3 linked regions of the Tamandua tetradactyla genome follow. The protein of the gene in region 2 interacts with the protein of the main gene of each other region in a pairwise test. Links are inferred from orthologs where the notes say so. Each region holds a gene or a part of one and is shown on either strand. Other genes may lie near its edges.

Region 1 (7,394 bases), about 130 Mb from region 2:
ATGCCAGGTGTACAATCTTTCCCCACAGATGTCTGATGGCCTTTAACGCCTGTCCCGTCATATAGGCGGCCAAGAAATAACCTGCTCTCAGAGTGGAGGGGAGTCCCAGGCCTGGGCCCACAGATGGGGGAGGTATTCTCAGTCCTTTGTCTCTCAGCAATCAATGTAGGTGAGAAAGTGTAAAATTTTACCTGTAAAGATTAGTAGGGAAAAGAAAAATGTCTCCCAGATTCAAATCCAGAGGATCCAGTAGAGCCTTTATTAATTCCTTCATCTGCTCCACCTCTGCCCTATAACCAGGGAGCAGATAGATGAAGGATGAAGCTCCCCTACCTCCGCCTCCTCTTTTTAAACCTTAACTGAAGGTTAAAAAAAAAAGCGTGAAATAGAAATGGTTTCCTTTCCCTCACCATAGCTGCCAGGAAATTCAGTCTAGCCAGGATGCTCTCTAAGACCAGCAGCTGAGCCACTATAAAACTTCTCCCCATCCAGCAAGTGCCCACAGGAAAGGACAACAGGGAGACCCAAGAAGATTTATATATGTGAGTATCACATCCTCCACAATGAATTTATGTAACTGGGAAAATAATATCCCACTTGTTTTGGTTTACTAAAGCTGACATGATGTAATAAACCAGAAATGGGTTGGCTTTTACATTGGGAATTTATTAGCTTATGAACTTACAAATTGCAGGCCGTGAAAAATGTCCAAATAAAGGAATCAACAGGATGATACCTTCTCTGAAGACTGGCTACAAGCTAGCTTGGGCTGCTCTGTCACATAGGGAAGGCACCTGGCAGCATCTGCTGGTCCTTCTCTCCCAGCTTTCACTGCTTCCAGCTTCTGGCTTTAGTGGCTTCCTCTCAGCTTCTCTGGAGCTTTTTATGTGAACTTTTCTTAATTTCATCTCTATGTGTTTTAACCTTCTATAAAGGACCCAAATAAGAGGAATGTTTTAGTTTGTTAAATGCTCCTGGAATGCAATATACTAGAAATGGAATGGGTTTTAAAAAGAGAATTTATTAAGTTGCAAGTTTCCAGTTCTAAGACCAAAAAAATGTCCACATTAAGGCATCCAAAGAAAGATACCTTGACTCAAGGAAGGCTGATACCTGTCACATGACAAGGCATGTGGCTGGCATCTGCTGGTCCTTATTCTGGTTCCACTGCTTCCACCTTCTGATTCCAGCGCTTTCCTCTCTAAGATCTGTGGATCGTCACTTAGCTCCTCCGGGACACAACTCTGGGTTCTGGCTTGCTTAGTATCTCATGGGAAGGCATATGGTGATGTCTGCTGGGCTTTGCATTTCCAAATGCTAGTGTCAGCACTCCAACAATCTCCAAATGTCTGCATCTCTGTCGGCTCTGAAACAACTGTGTCTTCTCCAAAATGTCTCCCTTTTTAAAGAACTCCAGTAAACTGATCAAGGCCCATCTTAAATGGGCAGAGTCACGTGTCCATCTAATCAAAAGGTCACACCTATATCGAGTGGATTATATCTCCATGAAAACAATCTAATCAAAAGATCTCACCCTACAATATTGAATCTGGATTAGAAGAACAAGGCTTTTCTATGGTACATAATTTCAAACTAGCACAGGGATTAAAACCTTGAATAAGATGGGTCACATCTCAGTTGAAATAATCTTAACAAAAGATCCCTAATCAATAGGCCCACACCCACAGGAGTGGATTAAATTTAAGAACCTGATTTTCTGGAGTACATAACAGCTTCAAACTATTACAGCACTCTATAGAGAGGACCAAAAAAAAAGAAAGCCTAGTTTCTTTAATATTAGCAAACTATAACCCAAATTGGGCTAATACTCAGGCCTTATTAAATACCTTAATAACAAGAAAAGAATGGAGAAAAGTAACAGAAAAAGCAAAATGGAAAAAAAAAATTAAAAAAAAAAACAAAGAGAAACTCCTGACAACCCAGTGTATGCTAAAGCAAATTTAACAACACTGGTACGAAATCCTGAATGGAATCCAAATAATTCCGACAACTGGGCTAATCAGAGCATTATAAAAAATATATTATTCCAAGTCTGCAAAAAAGGGGTCCCTAAACCCATAAACAAAAAAAAAAACTAATGAAACAATATAAAAAAACTTCAGCTTTCCTTGAAAGAATTTATACTACGTATCAATATACACTAATATGGATCTGAAAAGTCCAAAGAATGCAAAATTTTAAATATAACCTTTATTACTCAGAGTGTTCCTGATATAAGGACAGTGCAAGAGAAAATAGATGGAGAACTAAGATTACCTATCTCTAAGTTAGCTGAACCTGCCTAAAAGTTTAAAACAGGACCAAGTTTTAAAAAGACCAGGACTTCAAAAGGCAAACAGCACTTCTCAGAGCTCTCCTACAAGAAACAACACTTTTCTCCCACCAGGAGCCCTGGGCAACAATACAGATGGAAAACTAATGAATTGACTTTTTTCTTAATACCAGAGATTAAATAAAAACCTAACATGATTTCCAACCAATCAGCTACTATAACAGGGGTGCCTGGTAAAAATGCAAAGAAATTATTTCTACAATTACTAGACTGCCTAGTTAAAACCATATATTTAAAACATACCCAGTTCCCTTGCTATGGATGTTAATCAAAAAGCCACATTAATGTTCACGAAGAAAGATAAACAAATCACCCCTATCCCAGAAGAAATCTTAAAAGCTATAAAACCAGTTGATGGAAAAACTGGACATGCAAAACTGATTCAAGTGAAATTCCAACAACCAGGAACTCCATGTTACATTAAACAATGTCCACAAACTAAAACCCTGAAAAGGAATTGTTCCATTAGTACAGGATGTGGATGATACCTTACTTAAGAGACATATCAAGAAAAAGAAAAAAACTATAGTTCTAATTAGTGAGTTATGTATTTCTGTGTTTTTTTGTGTCTAATTTCCTATTTGTTCAATGTATATTTTCCCACCTCTGGATGGTAACCAAAGATCAACAAACAAAAATGTTTAAAGACTATCCATATTAGGTAAAGATAAATAAGCGCTTATCTGTATAAACTAATACTCCTGGAGTTCAGAAGTTAAGGAAAGAGAGTTTCCGGGGCTCTTTAAACTCCTCCTCCTCCCCGCTCTACGTCCTGGAAAACCTAACTCCCAAACCCCATCGTAGGCTCAGGAGGTTTAGAAAAAATTCAACCTTTCATTCAGACCTATAAGCCTAGATCCTAGACCTTTTCATTCTAGACCGAGAGGCTTCAGGCAGCAGCAGTGTATAACGTTTTTGAGAGCCTGGGCTCTGAAATTTAAAGCTCAGCTCTGCAACTGCTGCTGAAGGTCATGTACAAATCTAATCAGTCAAAACTATTTGAAAGAAAACAACTAAGAAAAAGAAATCCCCCACCTTCTTTCTGTATCACCTATTCCTGCTTCCAGGGCCTTCTCCGGAATCTCGACCAAACCCGAGCAGTAAAAATTAAACCAGTGGAGGCTACAGGGGAATGGCTAGGTGAGAAAAGATCGGGGACGCGTAGGTTTGGCTTAAAACTTGTTTCCCCGGGCCTGGAGAGTAAAAGCGATGAGGACAGAAAGAATGTTACAGCATAGGCCATTTTTACATAGTTAGTCCTGTAATTCCATAATTTACAATTACTTTTTTCTACTAGGATCTTTGCAAAAGCAGCTGAATCGCCCGGCGGACGGAGCTTAGCCCGCACCGGACCCGGCTGGCTTCAGCCTCGGGCCTTCCTCACTTACAAGGATCTGAGGCCACGAAAAGGCCCACATCAAGGCACCATCAAGCGGTGCCTTCTCCAGGGCTAAGAATCTGATTATGAGCCTTCCCAAAGTGACAGGCCATGAGGCACTAGGGCGTGGAGACCAGCTCCGGCGTCGGCCGCAGCGCGCGGTCTCTGAGGAAAGCACGCCCGTCCACCACCGCACAACCGACTCCTGTCCCGCGCCTCGGCTCCTCAAGGCCTTCCGGGCTGCGTCCCTTCTTGGGTTTCCACGCTTCAGGGGCCCGCCGACGGCAATGACCAACGCTACTTGGCTCACCCCGTAGATAGAAGGAGCCCCGAACCGGAGCGCGAGCGGACAGGGCACCACACTTCCGGTGTCCCGCTGGGGACCCCACCCCACTTCCTGGCACCCGGCTCCGCTGAGGGGAGGGTTGGGCGAGGCTGGCCGGGGGCGGGGACGCGGACGGAAACGGCTAAGACACACTTCCGGCATCCCACTGGCGACCCCGCCACACTTCCTGTCGCCCGGCTCCGCTGAGGGGAGGGCTGGGCTGGGAGGCGAGCTGGGGACGGGGCGCGGACGGAAGCATGGACGCCACGCTTCCGGCGTTTCACTGCCACACTTCCTGTCACCCGGCTCCGCTGAGGGGAGGGCTGGGCTGGAAGGAGGGTTTGGGCCGGGGGCGTGGTCGGGCTCTGGCGTGCTGGGCCGCCCCACCGAGCGTCCGCGTCGTCGCGCGAGTCCGGAGAACCTTCCCGGGCCGCACTTCCAGCCCGCAGACCTTGTGTGCGCCCCTGGCCCGGCCCGCGCACCATGCCCGCCGTGGACAGGCTCCTTCTGGAGGAGGCGTTGCAGGACAGCCCGCAGGTACCTCGCTCCGGCCGGCCTCGTCGCGGGGGTGCGGTCGAGGAGGCCTCTCTAGGTCCCCTGGGGTCCAGGGCGGTCGGCGTCCTTCCCCAGGTCCCTTGTGGCTGAGGAGGGGTGGCCGGGAGGCTCGGGGGTGGAGGGTCTCCTCCCCGACGGGATTCATGGGGTCGGCATATCCCTGCTTATCCGAGCGGAGGCTGCCGGCCCGGGCAGGTTCGCCTCGGCTTGTTCTGTGTGGAGTGGGGACAGCAGCTGTGCCTGCCTCGTCGGGGCGTAGGGTTAGGAGAAAATGCCCGCAGAGTGAGGAGTCAAGTTTACGGTCCCGCTGCACCTGGCGGGGGCCTGGGACGGAGCGGTTGGGGTCTCTCCCCATGGGAGGCAGTGGTTGGGGTCTTCCCCCAGCGGGAGGCAGTGGTTGGGGTCTTCCCCTAGCGGGAGGCAGTGGTTGGGGTCTCTCCCCGCCGGGAGGCAGTGGTTGGGGTCTCTCCCCATGGGAGGCAGTGGTTGGGGTCTCTCCCCGCCGGGAGGCAGTGGTTGGGGTCTCCCCCAGCGGGAGGCAGTGGTTGGGGTCTTCCCCCAGCGGGAGGCAGTGGTTGGGGTCTCTCCCCATGGGAGGCAGTGGTTGGGGTCTTCCCCCAGCGGGAGGCAGTGGTTGGGGTCTCTCCCCCAGCGGGAGGCAGTGGTTGGGGTCTTCCCCCAGCGGGAGGCAGTGGTTGGGGTCTCTCCCCATGGGAGGCAGTGGTTGGGGTCTCTCCCCGCCGGAGGCAGTGGTTGGGGTCTCTCCCCGCCGGGAGGCAGTGGTTGGGGTCTCTCCCCGCCGGGAGGCAGTGGTTGGGGTCTCTCCCCCAGCGGGAGGCAGTGGTTGGGGTCTCTCCCCATGGGAGGCAGTGGTTGGGGTCTTCCCCCAGCGGGAGGCAGTGGTTGGGGTCTCTCCCCGCCGGGAGGCAGTGGTTGGGGTCTCTCCCCGCCGGGAGGCAGTGGTTGGGGTCTCTCCCCGCCGGGAGGCAGTGGTTGGGGTCTCTCCCCATGGGAGGCAGTGGTTGGGGTCTCTCCCCATGGGAGGCAGTGGTTGGGGTCTCTCCCCGCCGGGAGGCAGTGGTTGGGGTCTTCCCCTAGCGGGAGGCAGTGGTTGGGGTCTCTCCCCATGGGAGGCAGTGGTTGGGGTCTTCCCCCAGCGGGAGGCAGTGGTTGGGGTCTCTCCCCGCCGGAGGCAGTGGTTGGGGTCTCTCCCCGCCGGAGGCAGTGGTTGGGGTCTCTCCCCGCCGGGAGGCAGTGGTTGGGGTCTCTCCCCCAGCGGGAGGCAGTGGTTGGGGTCTCTCCCCGCCGGAGGCAGTGGTTGGGGTCTCTCCCCGCCGGGAGGCAGTGGTTGGGGTCTCTCCCCCAGCGGGAGGCAGTGGTTGGGGTCTCTCCCCGCCGGGAGGCAGTGGTTGGGGTCTCTCCCCCAGCGGGAGGCAGTGGTTGGGGTCTTCCCCTAGCGGGAGGCAGTGGTTGGGGTCTCTCCCCGCCAGGAGGCAGTGGTTGGGGTCTCTCCCCGCCGGGAGGCAGTGGTTGGGGTCTCTCCCCGCCGGGAGGCAGTGGTTGGGGTCTCTCCCCATGGGAGGCAGTGGTTGGGGTCTCTCCCCATGGGAGGCAGTGGTTGGGGTCTTCCCCCAGCGGGAGGCAGTGGTTGGGGTCTCTCCCCGCCGGAGGCAGTGGTTGGGGTCTCTCCCCGCCGGGAGGCAGTGGTTGGGGTCTTCCCCCAGCGGGAGGCAGTGGTTGGGGTCTCCCCCAGCGGGAGGCAGTGGTTGGGGTCTCTCCCCGCCGGGAGGCAGTGGTTGGGGTCTTCCCCTAGCGGGAGGCAGTGGTTGGGGTCTCTCCCCGCCGGGAGGCAGTGGTTGGGGTCTCTCCCCGCCGGGAGGCAGTGGTTGGGGTCTCTCCCCCAGCGGGAGGCAGTGGTTGGGGTCTCTCCCCGCCGGAGGCAGTGGTTGGGGTCTCTCCCCGCCGGGAGGCAGTGGTTGGGGTCTTCCCCCAGCGGGAGGCAGTGGTTGGGGTCTTCCCCCAGCGGGAGGCAGTGGTTGGGGTCTGTCCCCCAGCGGGAGGCAGTGGTTGGGGTCTGTCCCCCAGCGGGAGGCAGTGGTTGGGGTCTTCCCCCAGCGGGAGGCAGTGGTTGGGGTCTGTCCCCCAGCGGGAGGCAGTGGTTGGGGTCTCTCCCCCAGCGGGAGGCAGTGGTTGGGGTCTCTCCCCATGGGAGGCAGTGGTTGGGGGTCTCTCCCCGCCGGGAGGCAGTGGTTGGGGTCTCTCCCAGGGGTACATAAGGAGAGGAAACCACGGCACCCACCCGGGCGCACACGGGGAGCTGCGTTTGCGCGTTGGCATGTCCCTCAAGCCCCTGTGCTGGGAGGTGAAGGCAGGTGTGCAGGTAGCAGTGATGCAGTGACTGGAGTTCAATTCAGTGGCCCCTCCCCGGGAACTGTTGTTCTCCTACACTTACCTTTTCCCCAACTTCCTATCTGTGTTTCTGATGCTATGTCTTTGGGTCATGTAAATAAGTCTCTTCTCTAGATTCTCAACTAGGCAAAGTTAGAATAGATTCGCCTGTTCTTCCTTCACAGTCTCACCTGTCTTCTCCTCAGTACATTGTACCTCCCGGGATGCTCTTTAATGGATTTGCCTTCTCCCACTCTGCGTCTCTCCGGTTGGGAGTAAGTGGTCAAAAGGGCTGTGTGCACAGTTTTCTTGTTCCCATTCTTTGTGAGCTCTGTGTGTAGGCAAGGAACTGTGGTAACTGTGATTTTCTTTTTGTTGTTGTTCTGGCAAATTCA
Region 2 (6,994 bases):
AAAAGACTGAACGCTATAGTTTCTAATTCTTCTGTTCCTTGACTTCAGGAGTGGCTTTTCGCTTGGACATTTTCTTCTTTTGTTTTCCAGGTGCTTCTTTGACAGGCTCTTCCCCTTTCTCCCGTCTCCCCCTCCTCATCATTCTCATCATTCTTCTTGTCATCATCCTCTTCCTCCTCCTCCTTCTCATCCTCTTCATCTTCAGCCATGCTCTTCGATTCACAGGAACAGCTTTTCTAGGAGATTTTTTTCCTTTGGCTGGTGTAGTCTCCACAGCTGCTTCTTCAGAATCATCATCTTCATCATTGTCATCCTCATCTTTGTCTTCATCATTTTCATTTTCATCATCGTCATCCTCTGAGGCAGAAGTAGTAGTGGCTGCCTTTATCACTGCTGGCTCAGATTCATCCTCATCCTTGTTCTCTTCCTTGCTGTCTTCATCATCTTCCTCATCCCTGTCATCCTTCTTGGCATTTTTACCATTCTCTGCCCCCTTGGCTAGGGTCAGAGCTCCCGTCTTACCAGGAGTCGCCACTACCACTGCCTTGCCAGGTGTGGCTTCTTCTTGGCAGGTGTTGGCTGGTGTAGTTGTCTTCTTGGCAGGTATGGCTGCTGCTTTTTTGCCAAGGGTTACAGCTACCTTCTTGGCAGGTGTGACAACTGCAATCTTTTTTGTTGGGGAAACCACCATCTTCTTTGCTGGAGTTGTGATGGCCTTCTTGCTTTTTTTTCTGAGGAATAACAATCTCTTCTCCACTGCTATCATCTTCATTTGCTGACATTTCCTCATCATCACCATTTTCTTCTACCTTCTTTGGAGGAGGAGTCATTTTCTTGGCGTTACCTTGATTTTTACCAGCTTTCATGAGCTTTACCATGATAGTGGCTTATGATGGTGGAATGTGGGGCAGACAAGTAGCGCAGAGGAGCCCTGAGAAACATAAGCAACATTGATGGGGGCCACGGCTACTGAGGATGCCAGAGCACAGCCCTTGACTGCCAGCTAGAGCTCAAGACTGAGCCAAAACACCCCAGTTAATACTCTGAAATTTCTGGCGGGCCATAAAATATTTAACCACAAACTAAAGCTTTTATATGCCTAAGAGTTTTTAAGGATAAAAAAAATATGATCCAAGCACAAAACAAATTCTAAGGGAACATCTCGGGATTTCTAAAATGACAGCGAATGAAATTATTACATAAAAATGTAATATTTATAACAATATTGTTCTATTTCTTTGCTTAAGTTCTTTTGCTCCTTTTTAACTCTGCTCTCACCACAGACCTGTGAGTAGTTGTTAATTTGTAGAGAATAGCATGGCATGTATTATTTCTGTTTATAGATGCACAAATAGATTCACAGGAAGTAAGTAATTTATCCAAGGCTTCACAAAAGATAACTGGTGAATTCTGAACGAATAATATTCAGATGCCTTTTTTGTAAATTTAATTTGTATTGACTGCTTACTCTTCTAAGCACAATACCTACAACATTACTTTGAACTTTACATTTTTAATCCATTGTTCATTGTATTTTTCTTTGCCTCTCAAAGAACATTTATTTCATTGGAAGAGGAAACACCCTTTGGGCTTTCAGAAATCATGTTTTCTCTTGTCTTTATGAAAAAAAAATGGAGGGAGGCATAATTCTACACATGGCCCTTGAAGATATAGGTGTCTTTTAGTGGCTTTTTGTCTCTGTCTCCATTCATTTATGGAGGGTTTACCAAAGTCCTTAGACATTTTATTCTTGGGACCCCTTTTGACACTCTCACAAATGAATAAAATACCAAAGAGCTTTATTATATATATTTATATTTATCATATTATGAATTAAAACAGAGATTTTATTTTAAAATGACCAGTTTTAAATAATATTACTTTCAATATAAATAGCATTTTTATGAAAAATAAAAAGTTTACTGGCAAAAGTGGTATTGTTTCTCATTTTTCAAAGTTTTTGAATGTCTGGCTTGATAGAAAATAGCTGTAATCTCACATCTGGTTCTGCAGTCTTTTGCAACATCCACGTTGTATAACCTGGAAAGCTCTTATGAGAGAAGAATAGTAGATAAAAGCAGATAACATCTTGGTATTTTTATGAAAATAGTTTCGAACTTGTGAACCTCCTCCAGGGGCTCAAGGTCCCCATGTCATACCTTGAAGATTGCTGCTCTGGATAGAAGTGAGAATGCTGAAGGAACAGGACCTAATTCATGCCCTGAAAGTGATAGGATTCAAGGCTAGAAAAATAAAGGAAAAGTCAATTTACAAAACAGTGTAATACATTCATTCTATACATTTTTATTGAAAAATAAAAACAGACAAGTTAATTGCACATTTTGGTGAGTGTTTTTAAGGATGTAAAGGCAAGATAGAATGGGGGAAGATGGTAAGGTACCTCCTTCAGATAGAGTGAATAGGCCTCTGAAAAAGTGACATTTAAGCTGGCATTCAAGGACAAGTAGCCATGTGAAGGGAGGAAATGTCCTCTGAAGGAAGAAGAATTTAGAGTTGGCTGCCTTAGTTATTTACTTGTTTACTATCTGCTCCTCCCACTAGAAATAAACTCCATGAGGACAGACCAGAGTATTCCTTGGGAGCTATTCTATTCTCAGAATCTAGTCCCTGCATAGCACAAAGGAAATGTATGATAACAGATTTTGAATGAGTGGAAAAAAGGCCTGGAGGAGAGTGAGTGAGGGGAAACATTTAGTTCGGATAGAGGGAAAAGAGGTATAAGGAAAACCAAGAAAGAACTTCAGTAATGAAGGATGCTCGGGCACATTTGGGAAGAGCAATGAGTTCACTTGGAGAGGGGATGGGGAATAGAGAAGTCTGAGCAGTGAGTATACTTGGAGAGGGCTTGGGGAATAGAGAAGCCTGGGGAGCGGATGATGCGCTATCCAAGTTATGAAGGACAGGTAGGAGTAATCCTCAAGGAAGGAAAGGTAGGAGCTTTCTAGGCAGAGTGGTAAATGACGAAAGGCCAGTGAAGGTGGCAGGGAATATTTGAGAAAGAAAGAAATAAGGTAGAATGAAATGATGAGCAGTGAATAGGAACCAAATTACCACGGGCCTTAGATGTGATGCGACTGACTAGGACCTTTTATTCTTTGTTATCCATGTAATAAGATGCTCATTATAGAAACTGGGTAAATAAAAGCGAGAAGCCAAAAAGAAAACCCCTGATTATCTTTTATTTCCACTTATTCCTCTTCCATTTTTCGTACTATTCATTTATAGTTGTATATTTTGTAGGTTTCCCGGGGTTAGGAGGTTTGTTTAATGTTCTTTGGGGTTTCTAGGTTTACTGTTTTCTTTTTTCTTTTTCGGCTTATCAAACACTTCTGATACTAACAGCTTCATAAACATCTTTTTTTAGGTGGTGAGGCAGTATCTAATGAACCATTCCTTAATGTTCGACGTTTATATTCAGTATTTCAAATTTATACATGATGTTTTGAAATATTTAAGTTTTACATGAATTTTTAAAACTATTGGAGTTTGTCCAATGGCTTTCTACAAAAGACTTCGCAATATACTACTTTAGAAGCGTGGCCTGGTTGTCGTTTAAAGGCAGTAAGCACGGATGCGATGCGAAGCGGGGGTTCCTGCCGGCGACCCCGGGGCACCTGAGACCCCCTCAGGCCGGTTGCACCAGGATCTCGGACCGAACACCCACAGGGGCACTAAGAAAACAAACCCGAAGCACGCGAGACGCATCTAGCTGGGTGCAAACAAACTCGGAAAGCCCAGGTGGGACCTCGGACGCGAAGACCCCTACGACCCCTCCTTCCGTCCAGCTCTCTGCCTTGCCCACTTCCGGTCCCTGCCCCGCCCCCACGCTCGTCCCGTGGCGCACGCGCGACGCCAGCGCGCCGTGTGACGTTGCCGCGCCGCGGCAGCAGACCCGAGCGAACCCGCGGCGGAGGCGGGGCGGAGGCGGGCGACCCCGCGGCCCGCGCCAGTTTGAATGGGAGTCCGCAAGATGGCGGCGGCCGGGCCCGAGGCGCGCCGAGGTGAGGCCGGGGAGGGGAGCTGCTCACTGGGCCCCGGCCCGACCCGCCCCCGGCTCTGCCTCCCCGCGCCGGGCGACCCCGCACGCCTGGGCTGTAGGGTCGCGGGGACTCCGCAGGGCCACCTACGAGCCCCGGAACCTGACTCCCCCACGGCCTGAAGGCGTCGGTCGGGTCAGCCCGGCCCGCGCGCCTCCTCTTCGGGCCGGGGTCGGTGCCCTCTGGGGTGTCTCGCGGGTAACCGGGGCCGGGGGGCGCGCTGACTTCTTTGTGGCGGTTTGAACGGGACGTTTGCGTTGTGTTGATGCTTTAACTGGAAAGGGAGAAATGTGGGTTGTGTAACTTTCATCTTAATATCAAGAAAAAGAAGAAACAAGCGTACGCCCAATTGGGACGCAGTGGGAGGGGAAGCCCCTTAGTGGAGGATACCCCAGTAAGGGGCATATGGGAATGCGCCTCTGGCACAAGAACCTCGCGTGAAATTGAGGTGGACGCCAGAGAATTAGATGCCGATGCGTGTGCGTGTGGGAGTTATCAGAAAGGCTAGAACTTGCCACACATTCTAGAATTTAAAGGCGTTTTCAAGCACTCCTCTCCACCCACATAGATGAACTACCGTCACACAATCCCTGAATTTCCCTTCCTTTAGCAATGAATGGCTAAAATGTAAACTAGTGTTAGGTTTCTGTGATGGTGATGAAACATGTAATCTTGTCATCGAATTCTTTTTTTTTTAGGCGATTAGAGTATCGGAATTTTTACTAAATGTTTGCGGTTTTTTTATATATGTATTTTTTATCCTCAAAGATAGCATTTCCATCTAGGGTTTTGTCTTGAATCCTCATGTTACTTCAACCAGATAAAACGTTTAGGGATGGCAGACAAATACACCTTGGGTAAATACCAAAGAGGGCCCTCCTTTGCACATGGTTAGTGGAGTGAGGATAACTTTACACAAAGCATCCTCAAGTTGATTAGATGGAAAGCAGTTAAGGGATCACTTCTGTTCTACCACTCTGCTGTTCTTAAACCACCACCTCAAAGCAAACAACCCTTCCAGGGATTTCACTGTCTTGATTTACAATTATAAGTTTGAAGGAAGGGGCTTGCTGGAAATGGTGCTAAAGGTTTCCCACAATAAAGTCAGTCTCCTGGTGAGTTGAGGAGAGTGAGGAAAGGATGTAGTCAAGTCTGAGCCGCCGTGTTCTCTCTTCACTGGAAAATCGCCTCAAAACACAAAAGGTTATATCACCACTACCTTGGAGAGCTACTAAGGTATACTTCAGTTTACTTAAAACTTTTGTTTGGTAAACCAAATTTTTTCTAACCCTCACATTTTTTCAGCGAATCAGTGACCCAGCTAGGGATAGGGCAGAGGACTCCGGCCCCCTCTGGTGCTCACTCTCAGACTAAACCAAAAGCAAAGTTATTACACATTTCTAAACATCAGTTTTGTGTTAACCTAGATTTTAAATGCAGTTTGAAAGCATATGGTTTGCGGATATTTTAGGGTGAGATCTGCAACACAAATCAGTTCAGTCAGTTTCTGGCTTCTGTAAGATTAATTATGAATAGGTCTGATTTTCTTCAAGTTTGGTATATATATTATATAAATTGAATACTCTGTTTTGTAACACTTAGCTTTTTAAAACCATACGTGAAATGAGTACTGCAAAAGATTAGCATGCACTCTTTATTATAGCTCTTGGGTTTATTTACCTTAATGATAATACATTGCAAATAGGCAAAACAAAAAAGTTAAAATTTCACGCAACATTCCAAAGTGGGAAAAGTAGGATGCAGGGTGTATATGTTTTGTAACTATAGAGCTATATTTGAATTTATTTCAGTTCCCATTGTCCACTTAAGAAGAAGGAAAAAAGTTACTTTTTAATGGGTTATCAGATTGTGTTTTAAAGTATACTTTAGATGTATTTCTAACAATAATAAATATTGTCCTAGAGATCTAAGTTTATGAAAATATCAGTCATATTCTATTAAGAATATAATGGATAAGTATAATATCCTAGAGATCTAAGTTTCAGTCTCTATAGCGTTCATATATGCTATGTAGAAAATAATGGAAAAATAAAAAAACATTATCTATTGACTTTTGCATCTGTATGTAATCTCAAGAAAGCTTACAGACATGAAGTATTTTGTTCAAGTGGCTTAGTAGAAATTAATTGGCATCAGTTAAACATAGTAGGATAGAGAACTGTGAGAAAATCCGGAAGATGAATTTACCAAACTAGTCTTTAATGCTTAATTTTTTTCTTGAAGATGCATGATTGGTTTCTTGTCATGATTTTTTAGTCCTGTAAAATTGCCAGTTGAAGGGTGGGGATATAGAAGTGTTAAGTTTTTCTTTTTTGTTTTAATCAGTAGCTATTTCATTAGTAAAGAATTCTATTTTCTTATTGTAGCTTGGTGTGTGCCTTGCCTAGTTTCACTTGATACTCTTCAGGAATTATGTAGAAAAGAAAAGCTCACATGTAAATCCATTGGAATCACCAAAAGGAATCTAAACAATTATGAGGTGGAATACTTGTGTGACTACAAGGTAGTAAAGGTAAGGCAAATATCTAGCCTCTTAAAAGAGACCCAATCAGACTTTAGTATTTCATATTTCTGTAATAAAAATAACCTTAAAAACAAGCAAAGCTGTCCTTAGTATTTAATACTCTAAACCATGATAAATTTTATGTCTTATCATCTGTATTGCCAAATAACTTTCAGAAGATTTTGAAGGATAAAATGTTCTTGCATTAGAATATTTTAAGGTGCTTATATTATTCTGCATCCAACTCTTGATTATCTCTGGGTGGATTATCAGAGCAAAATGTTTTATTCCCAATTGGTTTCTCTTGTCATTCATTTTGCTCCTAGATCATATTTCTTTACTATCACCGAATCAAACGTGGAGATTCAAACCAGTTTTTAGCATACTGAATCTCCTCTGGAAGCATCACTGT
Region 3 (7,952 bases), on a different chromosome or scaffold from region 2:
AGGCTGCTTTGGACTTGGTATTCTGAGGGCCAAAGGCAGGCACAAAGAGATTTCATGCAAGTAAAAATGTCTGGTATATACTTTAAAAGATTCCTTCCTGCTCATGGGGCTCCAGGGTGGAAGTGGGTCCAGTAGGAAGATTGCTGGGAGGTGACAGCAGCCTGGACTAGGATGGAGAGAAGTTGTGGGCCCTGGGCAGTATTTCGGAGGCAGTATCAACAGGTAGAGCTGAGCTTGTGAGGTATGGAAGCCATGAAGCCAAGATGAGGAGAAATCGGATGCAGCTACAGGAGGCTACAGGAAGAGCGGGAGAGAGGAAGGACACAGTAGGAAGCAGTAGCCAGAGGAGCCTAGAGTTCAGGAGAGGCCCATGGGCCGCAGCCGATTTTGAGGGAGAAAGCGTTAGCAATCCAACCGAGTCACTATCCGCAGCTCGGCGGGCTAGGAAGGCAAGGGGCGGGACCCCGCCCTGCACAAACTGCCGGCAGGGGGCGGGGCCCCCGGTCGCAGTACGCAGGCGCGGAGCAAACCCGTCTCCATGGCGACAAGGACCAAGCTCCGACCCCAACTACTCTGCAACTGTCGTATCTTGGACTTAAGACCTACTGGAACCCGTCGTCCTTGACCGTGATCCCGCGTCAGATCACCTTTCTGCTCTCTGTCCCCGGCCTCGACATGGGTGACCTGGAGCTGCTGCTACCCGGCGAGGCTGAGGTGCTGGTGCGGAGTCTGCGCAGCTTCCCGGTGCGCGAGATGGGCTCCGAAAGGTGAGGCAGCCAGGTGAAGGGTTAGATGGAGTCATGGGGTCAGGGTCCTTGAAGGGGAAAACTTGGGCCAACTCTGGGGAGAGGAGTGGTGGGGTGGAGGGCCCACCCAGCCTCTCTGCGTGCAGAAGCAGAGATCTCAAGATGAGGATTAATGACTTCCAAGACCCCTCTGGTCCTTCAGGATCAGGATGGGCTTTATTAGGACCCAGCCAGCACCCCCACTCCATTACACATACATGTACCCAAATGCACACACCCTCTGGAGCAGGTGGAACCAGCAGCATGAGAACCTGGAGAAGCTGAACATACAGGCCATCCTGGATGCCACAGCCAGCCAGGGTGAGCCCATCCAAGAGCTGCTGGTCACTCATGGGAAGGTAAGCCGAGGTCACAGGCAGGGTTCCTGCCTTCACCCCACACCCCCACCTGCTCTATCCAGGAGTATCTCTGGCCTGTTACAACTGTCCTTCCCAAAGAGGAAGGAGCAGTGTGTGAGAGTTTCATTCTATACCACTATTGGGCAGGACCTTTGCTTGCCAGGCCCATGCAGGGCACAAGCTTATAAACAGGACAGTTGTGGATCTTAGGACAGCCTAGGATTCAGGGAAAGGGCCCAAGCACTAAAGGCATCCCTGAAAAGAGTGTAAGGCACTCACACACATAGTGGATGGGACCTTGCATGGAGGCAGCCTTCTCAACATGGGAGTGCAGAGTTAGGCACCAGCGATCTGCCTGGCCAGAACATGGGCCAGTAAGTGACCTGAGATATTACTTGATAAAAGGGTTCCCCTGCAAGAAAAAGAGGGAGCCCACTACTGTGGGGATAGGGCACTGTGAAGGGCCCCAAGTTAGGGAAAGGCCAAGGCACACAAGAATATCCGAGGTCAGGGACAAGAGGGAAGGCAGGAACAAGAAGGCCTGAGAGGGAGGTCAGATGGTGGAACAAAAGTATATGTATGTGGGGAGCAGGAAGATCCCCACTGCCTGGGGGCAAAGCAGGGGCCAGTCACTGGCAGCATGGGAGAAGACCCCACAGAAATGCTCCTCCAGGCAGCTGGAGATGAAAGTCTAAGGCTCAGGAGAGAGGTCAGGAAGGGTATTCATGGAACTTGGGAGAGTAAGGCGGCTCAGGCAAGTCTGAGACCTAGGTCAGGCTAGGCCAAGAATGGGGCATGGCTAGGCCAAGTCGGGCTCATCTCATCCCGATCCTTGCCCTGACTCCTCAAAGATCCCGACACTGGTGGAGGAGCTGATTGCAGTAGAGATGTGGAAGCAGAAGGTGTTCCCTGTGCTGTGCAAGTTGGAGGACTTCAAGCCTCAGAATACCTTCCCTATATACATGGTGGTGAGCTGGACCCTGGTTCCCATCCCCACCTACACCTTCAGAAAGCCCTGGACTAGAGGGCAGCTGGTGACTCCTAACCCTTTGTCAGCCTCAGGTTCTGTCCTCTGCTTTGGCTGACAGGTGCACCATGAGGCCTCCATCATCAACCTCCTGGAGACAGTTTTTTTCCATAAGGTAAGACACAGGTTCTGTCCATAGGCCACTGCCCCAGGCCAGAGCTGGACAGGAAGAGGGTTTGTCTCTGTAGGGAGAGCATCAGAGGCAGAAGGTTTTCCCTCCTCTTGCCTCCCAGGAAGTGTGTGAGTCAGCAGAGGACACCGTCTTGGACCTGGTGGACTACTGCCACCGCAAACTGACTCTGCTGGTGGCCCGGAGTGGCCATGGCAGTCCCCCTGAGGAAGAGGGATCCCAGGACAACACCCCCATGCAGGTGGACTGAGGTTCCCTGGGGCTGGCAAGGGCTGAATCTAGGCTTCACAAGTCCTAGGCAGGAAGGGGGTGGCCCAAATTGAGCACTTTGTGGCCTCCAGGAGCTACAGAAGCAGGCAGAGCTGATGGAATTTGAGATTGCACTGAAGGCCCTCTCAGTGTTGCGTTACATCACAGACTGCATGGACAGGTGGGCAGACTGGCTGGGTCTGGGTGGGGCCTGTACTTGAGGGTGAGGAAACAGAGCCTGCAGCCTCTGCTCACTTCCCCCCACTCCCGACCTCCAGCCTGTCCCTGAGCACCTTGAACCGAATACTCAGCACCCACAACCTGCCCTGCCTCCTGGTGGAACTGCTGCAGCACAGTCCTTGGAGCCGGCGTGAAGCTGGTAAAGGCCTCATCAATCTGCCTAAACCCCAACCCACTGCTTACAGGACATCCTCAGGATTGGCAGGGGTGGGCCCATAGAAAATACCAGGATGTCTCCCTCAGGTTGGGCCTAGATCTGGGCTCTCCAGCAGGCAAGGCCCATGTGTTCATTACTGAAGACTCAGCCTGCTCTGGGGCCAACAGTACCTCAACCCTGACAAGTCCTTGTGGTTCAGGCTTTTCCCACCATGCCCGGGCAGTGACCAGTCCACCATTCCACATGGCTAGCTCACTTAAAGATCATGCAATGCCTGCATCCATTGTTTTGGTTCCTCTCTCAGGCAAACTGCAGCGATTCGAGGGTGGATGTTGGCAGACAGTGGCCCCCTCAGAACAGCAAAAACTGAGCAAGCTGGATGGGCAGGTGTGGATTGCCCTGTACAACCTGCTGCTAAACCCTGAGGCCCGGGCCCGCTACTGCCTCACAGGCTTTGCCAAGGGTCAGCTGCTCAAGGTTGGGAGTTGCCCCAGGCTCCCCGACACCAGTCTTCTCTGCCCCAGCACTGCCCCCTCCATCCCACCCCATTCATCGCTGCCATTTGTCTTTGTACACCCACCTCAGCCTTTCCATACTTTGGACCTCAGGTCATGAAGCAGTCAATGGGGCTCAGGCCCCACAAGCATCCTCAGCCCAGCCTAGCCCAGCCCAGATCCTCCTGCTCCTTGGCCCTTTGGCCAGTATGTGCCTAACACAGCCTCCACCAACACCCTTGCAGCTTCAGGCCTTCCTCACTGACACACTGCTTGACCAGCTGCCCAACCTGGCAGATCTGCAGCATTTTCTGACCCACCTGGCCCTGGCTGAACCCGAGGCCCCCAAGAAGGACCTGGTGTTGGAACAGGTAGGCACTGGGATATTACTTGGGACCACTGTCCTCTTTGCCTTTGCTCCTCCCTGCTACTCTCTACTTCTCCCCCCAACCCACTCCACTCCCCAGATCCCAGAAATTTGGGAGCAGCTGGAGCGAGAGAACAGAGGCAAGTGGCAAGCCATTGCCAAGCACCAGTTGCGACATATGTTCAGTGCCTCAGAGCAGGACCTGCGGCTACAGGCACGGAGGTAAGCCCTGCTGAGCTGATAGAAGGGGTGGTAAAGAAGTAGGAGGCATGGCCTGGGAATGGGGGGCTCCCTATGTGCCCATCTGCCAGGCCTAGTCATGTCTTCCTGACCCTTCCCCAGGTGGGCTGAGACCTACCGACTGGATGTGCTGGAAGCAGTGGCCCCAGAGCGGCCCCGCTGTGCCTACTGCAGCGCAGAGGCCTCTAAGCGTTGCTCCAGATGCCAGAACGAATGGTATTGCTGCAGGTGAGGGTACCCTAGGATCCTGGAACCCTGAGCCCCACCTCCAAACACTGCCCTCCTCACTGGTCCATCTGTCTGCAGGGAATGTCAAGTCAAACACTGGGAGAAGCATGGAAAGGCCTGTGTCCTGGCAGCCCAGGGTGATAGAGTCAAATGAAAGTTGTGGCCGTGGAGGGCCGACCAACTCTGCCAGAGGAGCCCACCCAGAGTGCGCTCCTCAACCTAGAAACTTCAGCCTGGCCTCCTGTGTGGGTAGCGCCATTGGGTGGGGTAGAGCAGCTGACCATCCCCTGCCAAAGCAAAGCGCTCCCCACTTCCTGCCCCACCCTGGGACACTGCCTCAGAAAGCTGGGGCAGGAAGACTGGGCAGGATGTGGAGACCCTCTTCCTCTAGCAGAGTAAAGCAGGCCTCTAGAAACACGCTTGTCTCAGTGTGCTCTGTCGCAGTCGGGGGCAGAGGGGGTGGAGGGGGGGTGTGTTCATGTGGATGAGGGAGGCAAGGAAGGGAATGCGGGGATTTTGCCAGTCTCCCCACCCCAACTCCTCTCGGCTCCGCCTGCGGGCTGACGGAACCCCGCACCCAAGTTTCCGTTGCACAGCTCTCCTTGGCTCTCACCGAGCTCCGCCCTGCCTGAATCTAAGGGGGCGGTGTCGCAGTCGGGACCCGCCCGCCCGGCGCTTGCTTGAGCGCGCAACCCTGGCCAGGCCAGGCGGACCATGTCGGCCGAGCCCGAGCTCATCGAGCTACAGGAGTTGACACCCGCTCGCAGCCCCGGCCCCGGCCGTACCCGCCTGGCGCGCACCAATGCGCTTCGCATTGCGCCAGGCACTGCACGCTACCCCGAACGGCACCTGGCTCCTGGCCGTGGCCACCGTTTCCAACCGGCTGGGCCCGCCACGCACACCTGGTGCGATCTCTGCGGCGACTTCATCTGGGGCGTCGTGCGCAAGGGCCTGCAGTGTGCCCGTGAGTAGCAGCCCATTGCGCAGACGAGAACAGAACCGCCGCTGAGGGGGAGCGCCATCGCTCCGGACTAAGTCGAGGTGGAGGGGGGTGGCAGGAATGGCCCCACGGACCTGGGCCGTTATCTTGGGCTCCCATCGCGGGAGAGAGTGCTGACAGATGGTTCATCTTGCTATGCGCCACCTGCATCTGGGGCGGTTGGTCAGGGGCAGTTGCCTTTGAATTCCAAGCTGCTAATTTCAAGTTTCTTATCTTCCCTTTAAAGTGCCTTGGCCCTTCTTGAGAAAGGCTGTGAACCCATATCCCAGGCCTGCCCCTTCCCAAAGATTCACTTACCCAGATCCCACTAAAGAATACCCCTGTGGTGAAGGGAAGTTATGAAGGGAGGGGACCTGGGAAAGTTGAGAACGCTGGACAGGCCCCCTGCAAGCAGGGATTTTAAGTCTGTTCAGCAAACACCCACATGGGGCCAGTGAACCAGGTGCTGCAACATGGAATTCAGGGACACACCAGCCAGGCCTCTGTCATCCTGTGAATCACCATCACCGGCAAGCAGAGGTTGCTCTCCCATTTAAATCACCTGGGCGCTTTTACAGCCCTCCCACTCCCTATGCCTGGATCCCACCTCAGATGGGTTGCTGGAGATAGGCCCTATGCATCAGTAATCTTTTTGAAACTCCCCAAATCATTCTAATGTACAGCCTGGGTTGAGAATCACTGCTCCAGTCCATTCAGAAACCTAGGGATATAGTGTCAGGCCTGTGTGTGCACGGAGATCCTCCGTCCAATACAGGAGACTGCCCAGTATTCAGGTGACAGAAGCACAGAACTTATGATTGAATACAAAATATGAATGCTGCACCATTCCCAAGGAGAAATAAAGTGACCATGGAAACAAGAAATGGGATCGTTTTGAGTGTGTTTTTGAGATAGAGGCAAGGGAAAAATCAAGAATTGAGTTGGGGGTTTGCCTTAAACTGCTGGAGGAATGGTGGCAATTTCCACTGAGATGTGGAACTCCAGTGAATCGAAGAGGTGAGGTAGAGGAAAAGTGAGTAAAACTTTGGCCATATTCGGTCTGAAGTGTCTTTTAAACATTCAAGTGAATATGCTGATACACAAGATTTGCTCTGAGAAGAGAGGTCAGTGCCTGATGGAGCCTTAGATCTGGAAAGCAAAGCAAGTGGATAAGATAGGGGTAGTGAGAGTAGACAGAGGAGGGCAGCCATCAGGACTGAGCCCAGGCACTCCCCATTACGAGATCAGCAAGTTGGGGCAGAACCAATAAAAGAGCTGAACAGGAGTCGTGGAGGTGAGAGAAAAACCAAGAGAGTATGGGCACCTAGGAAAAGCAAGAGTTAAATAATACCGAGGAGGTAAGGGTGGAAAACTCAATCTCGCAAGTTGCCAAGGACCCTGGCCAGGGCAATCAATTCCGTGGAGGGAGGGGCAAGCCTGGAGTGGGTAAAAGAGGGAAGGTGAATAGTCAGATGCATAGAGATAAGTTTTGGAGTGAGGGGTGTAGAGACAGAAGACAAAAGACCAGAGGCGGTTAGGGATTTCTGTTTTTCCCTTAAGTAAGCGAGGGGGAAACAATATGGAAGGGGTAATCTCATTGCTAGGTGCTTGAGAGCCATCTATTGAGCAGACCTAGGTCCCTAACCGCCAGTGGCCTTCCTGCCAGTTTCTAAACACCCAGAGGCTGACATTAGAGTCTGTGTGGCAGCGGGTGGAAAATGAGACCCGAGAGAAGACCAAACAAGCAGAGCCCGGGGAATGGGCCCTCCACCCGGGGGCTTCCTTTGGGTCCCCCTGGGCGCTTCTCCGAGGTGAAAGTGGGACTCCCTCTGCCTTACGGCCCGGCCTTTCCGCAGACTGCAAGTTCACCTGCCACTACCGTTGCCGCGCGCTCGTCTGCCTGGACTGCTGCGGACCCCGGGACATGGGCTGGGAGCCAGCGCTGGAGCGGGACACCAACGTGGTGAGCGCGGTACGGGAAAGGGCGGGGCAGGGGGCATACGGGGGGGACACAGGCGCGCGGACCGTGGACGGGCCACAGTGCAAGCGTTCACAATTGCGGCCCGGACGCTACCCGCAATGAGCGTAATAACAGCGGATTTCCGGTGGCAAAGAGTCGCTGGTTCAGCGCACGGGTTCGAAGGGGCGTCTCCGGTGCGAATCTTGCAGTGACCCTAGGAACCCGAAGCCAATGGCGGCTCGCCATGAGCCGTCCCGGCACAGCACAGGCGCACTTCCCGCGCCTCCCTCACTTGCATCCGGTCCAGCGGCCACGCGGGTGCACATGCGCACACGCTCCCACACGTCCCCTACGGGTGGTGGGTCAGCGAGAAGGATCTGAGCTGAGCTGCCTGGGCGATGAGGTCATCCTGAAGGCGAGGCGGGCGTGGCCCCGCCCTTTGACGTTCCTCAATAAGAGAAGAGCTGAGTCTGGGCTGTCTACGTTTCCGCCTTAACGGTTGTGGCGTGGACACTGATCTGGCGCACGCGCGCACGGATACAGGCGCGCACGCGTCGGGTTGGCAGCGGAAGGCGAACCGGGCTAGTGAAGCGATCAGGCGTGCTCGCGCAGCGATGGGCGAGGCGGACGCGGGGACACCTTCTTTCGAGATGACCTGGAACAGCACTACAAGCAGTGGCTACTGCAGCCAGGAGGACTCGGACTCGGAGCTCGAGCAGTACTTCACGGCGCGCACC

Evidence for each region.
Region 1: the proteins of SUV39H2 (region 2) and APPL2 interact in binary tests that used the Homo sapiens proteins (3 or more experiments, as listed by UniProt). The link is inferred for Tamandua tetradactyla from reciprocal best matches to the Homo sapiens genes SUV39H2 and APPL2.
Region 3: the proteins of SUV39H2 (region 2) and RASSF1 interact in a two-hybrid assay, tested with the Homo sapiens proteins (2 studies listed by BioGRID and IntAct). The link is inferred for Tamandua tetradactyla from reciprocal best matches to the Homo sapiens genes SUV39H2 and RASSF1.

The regions. Positions count from the first base shown.
Region 1 is NC_135333.1:175,339,577-175,346,970, reverse strand, and holds the start of APPL2 (DCC-interacting protein 13-beta), read left to right. Parts: upstream 1-4,365; 5' UTR 4,366-4,539; coding exon 4,540-4,593; intron 4,594-7,394. UniProt on the Homo sapiens protein: Multifunctional adapter protein that binds to various membrane receptors, nuclear factors and signaling proteins to regulate many processes, such as cell proliferation, immune response, endosomal trafficking and cell metabolism.
Region 2 is NC_135333.1:47,805,425-47,812,418, reverse strand, and holds the start of SUV39H2 (histone-lysine N-methyltransferase SUV39H2), read left to right. Parts: upstream 1-3,907; 5' UTR 3,908-3,976; coding exon 3,977-4,022; intron 4,023-4,246; exon of another isoform or gene 4,247-5,294; intron 5,295-6,445; coding exon 6,446-6,591; intron 6,592-6,994. UniProt on the Homo sapiens protein: Histone methyltransferase that specifically trimethylates 'Lys-9' of histone H3 using monomethylated H3 'Lys-9' as substrate.
Region 3 is NC_135341.1:35,759,908-35,767,859, forward strand, and holds the start of RASSF1 (ras association domain-containing protein 1), read left to right. Parts: upstream 1-4,923; 5' UTR 4,924-4,990; coding exon 4,991-5,240; intron 5,241-7,111; coding exon 7,112-7,227; intron 7,228-7,305; exon of another isoform or gene 7,306-7,829; coding exon of another isoform or gene 7,830-7,952. Other genes in the region: ZMYND10 (zinc finger MYND domain-containing protein 10), read left to right, coding at 676-767, 1,036-1,144, 1,996-2,112, 2,233-2,286, 2,405-2,542, 2,643-2,731, 2,829-2,929, 3,252-3,424 and 4 more. UniProt on the Homo sapiens protein: Potential tumor suppressor. Required for death receptor-dependent apoptosis. Mediates activation of STK3/MST2 and STK4/MST1 during Fas-induced apoptosis by preventing their dephosphorylation.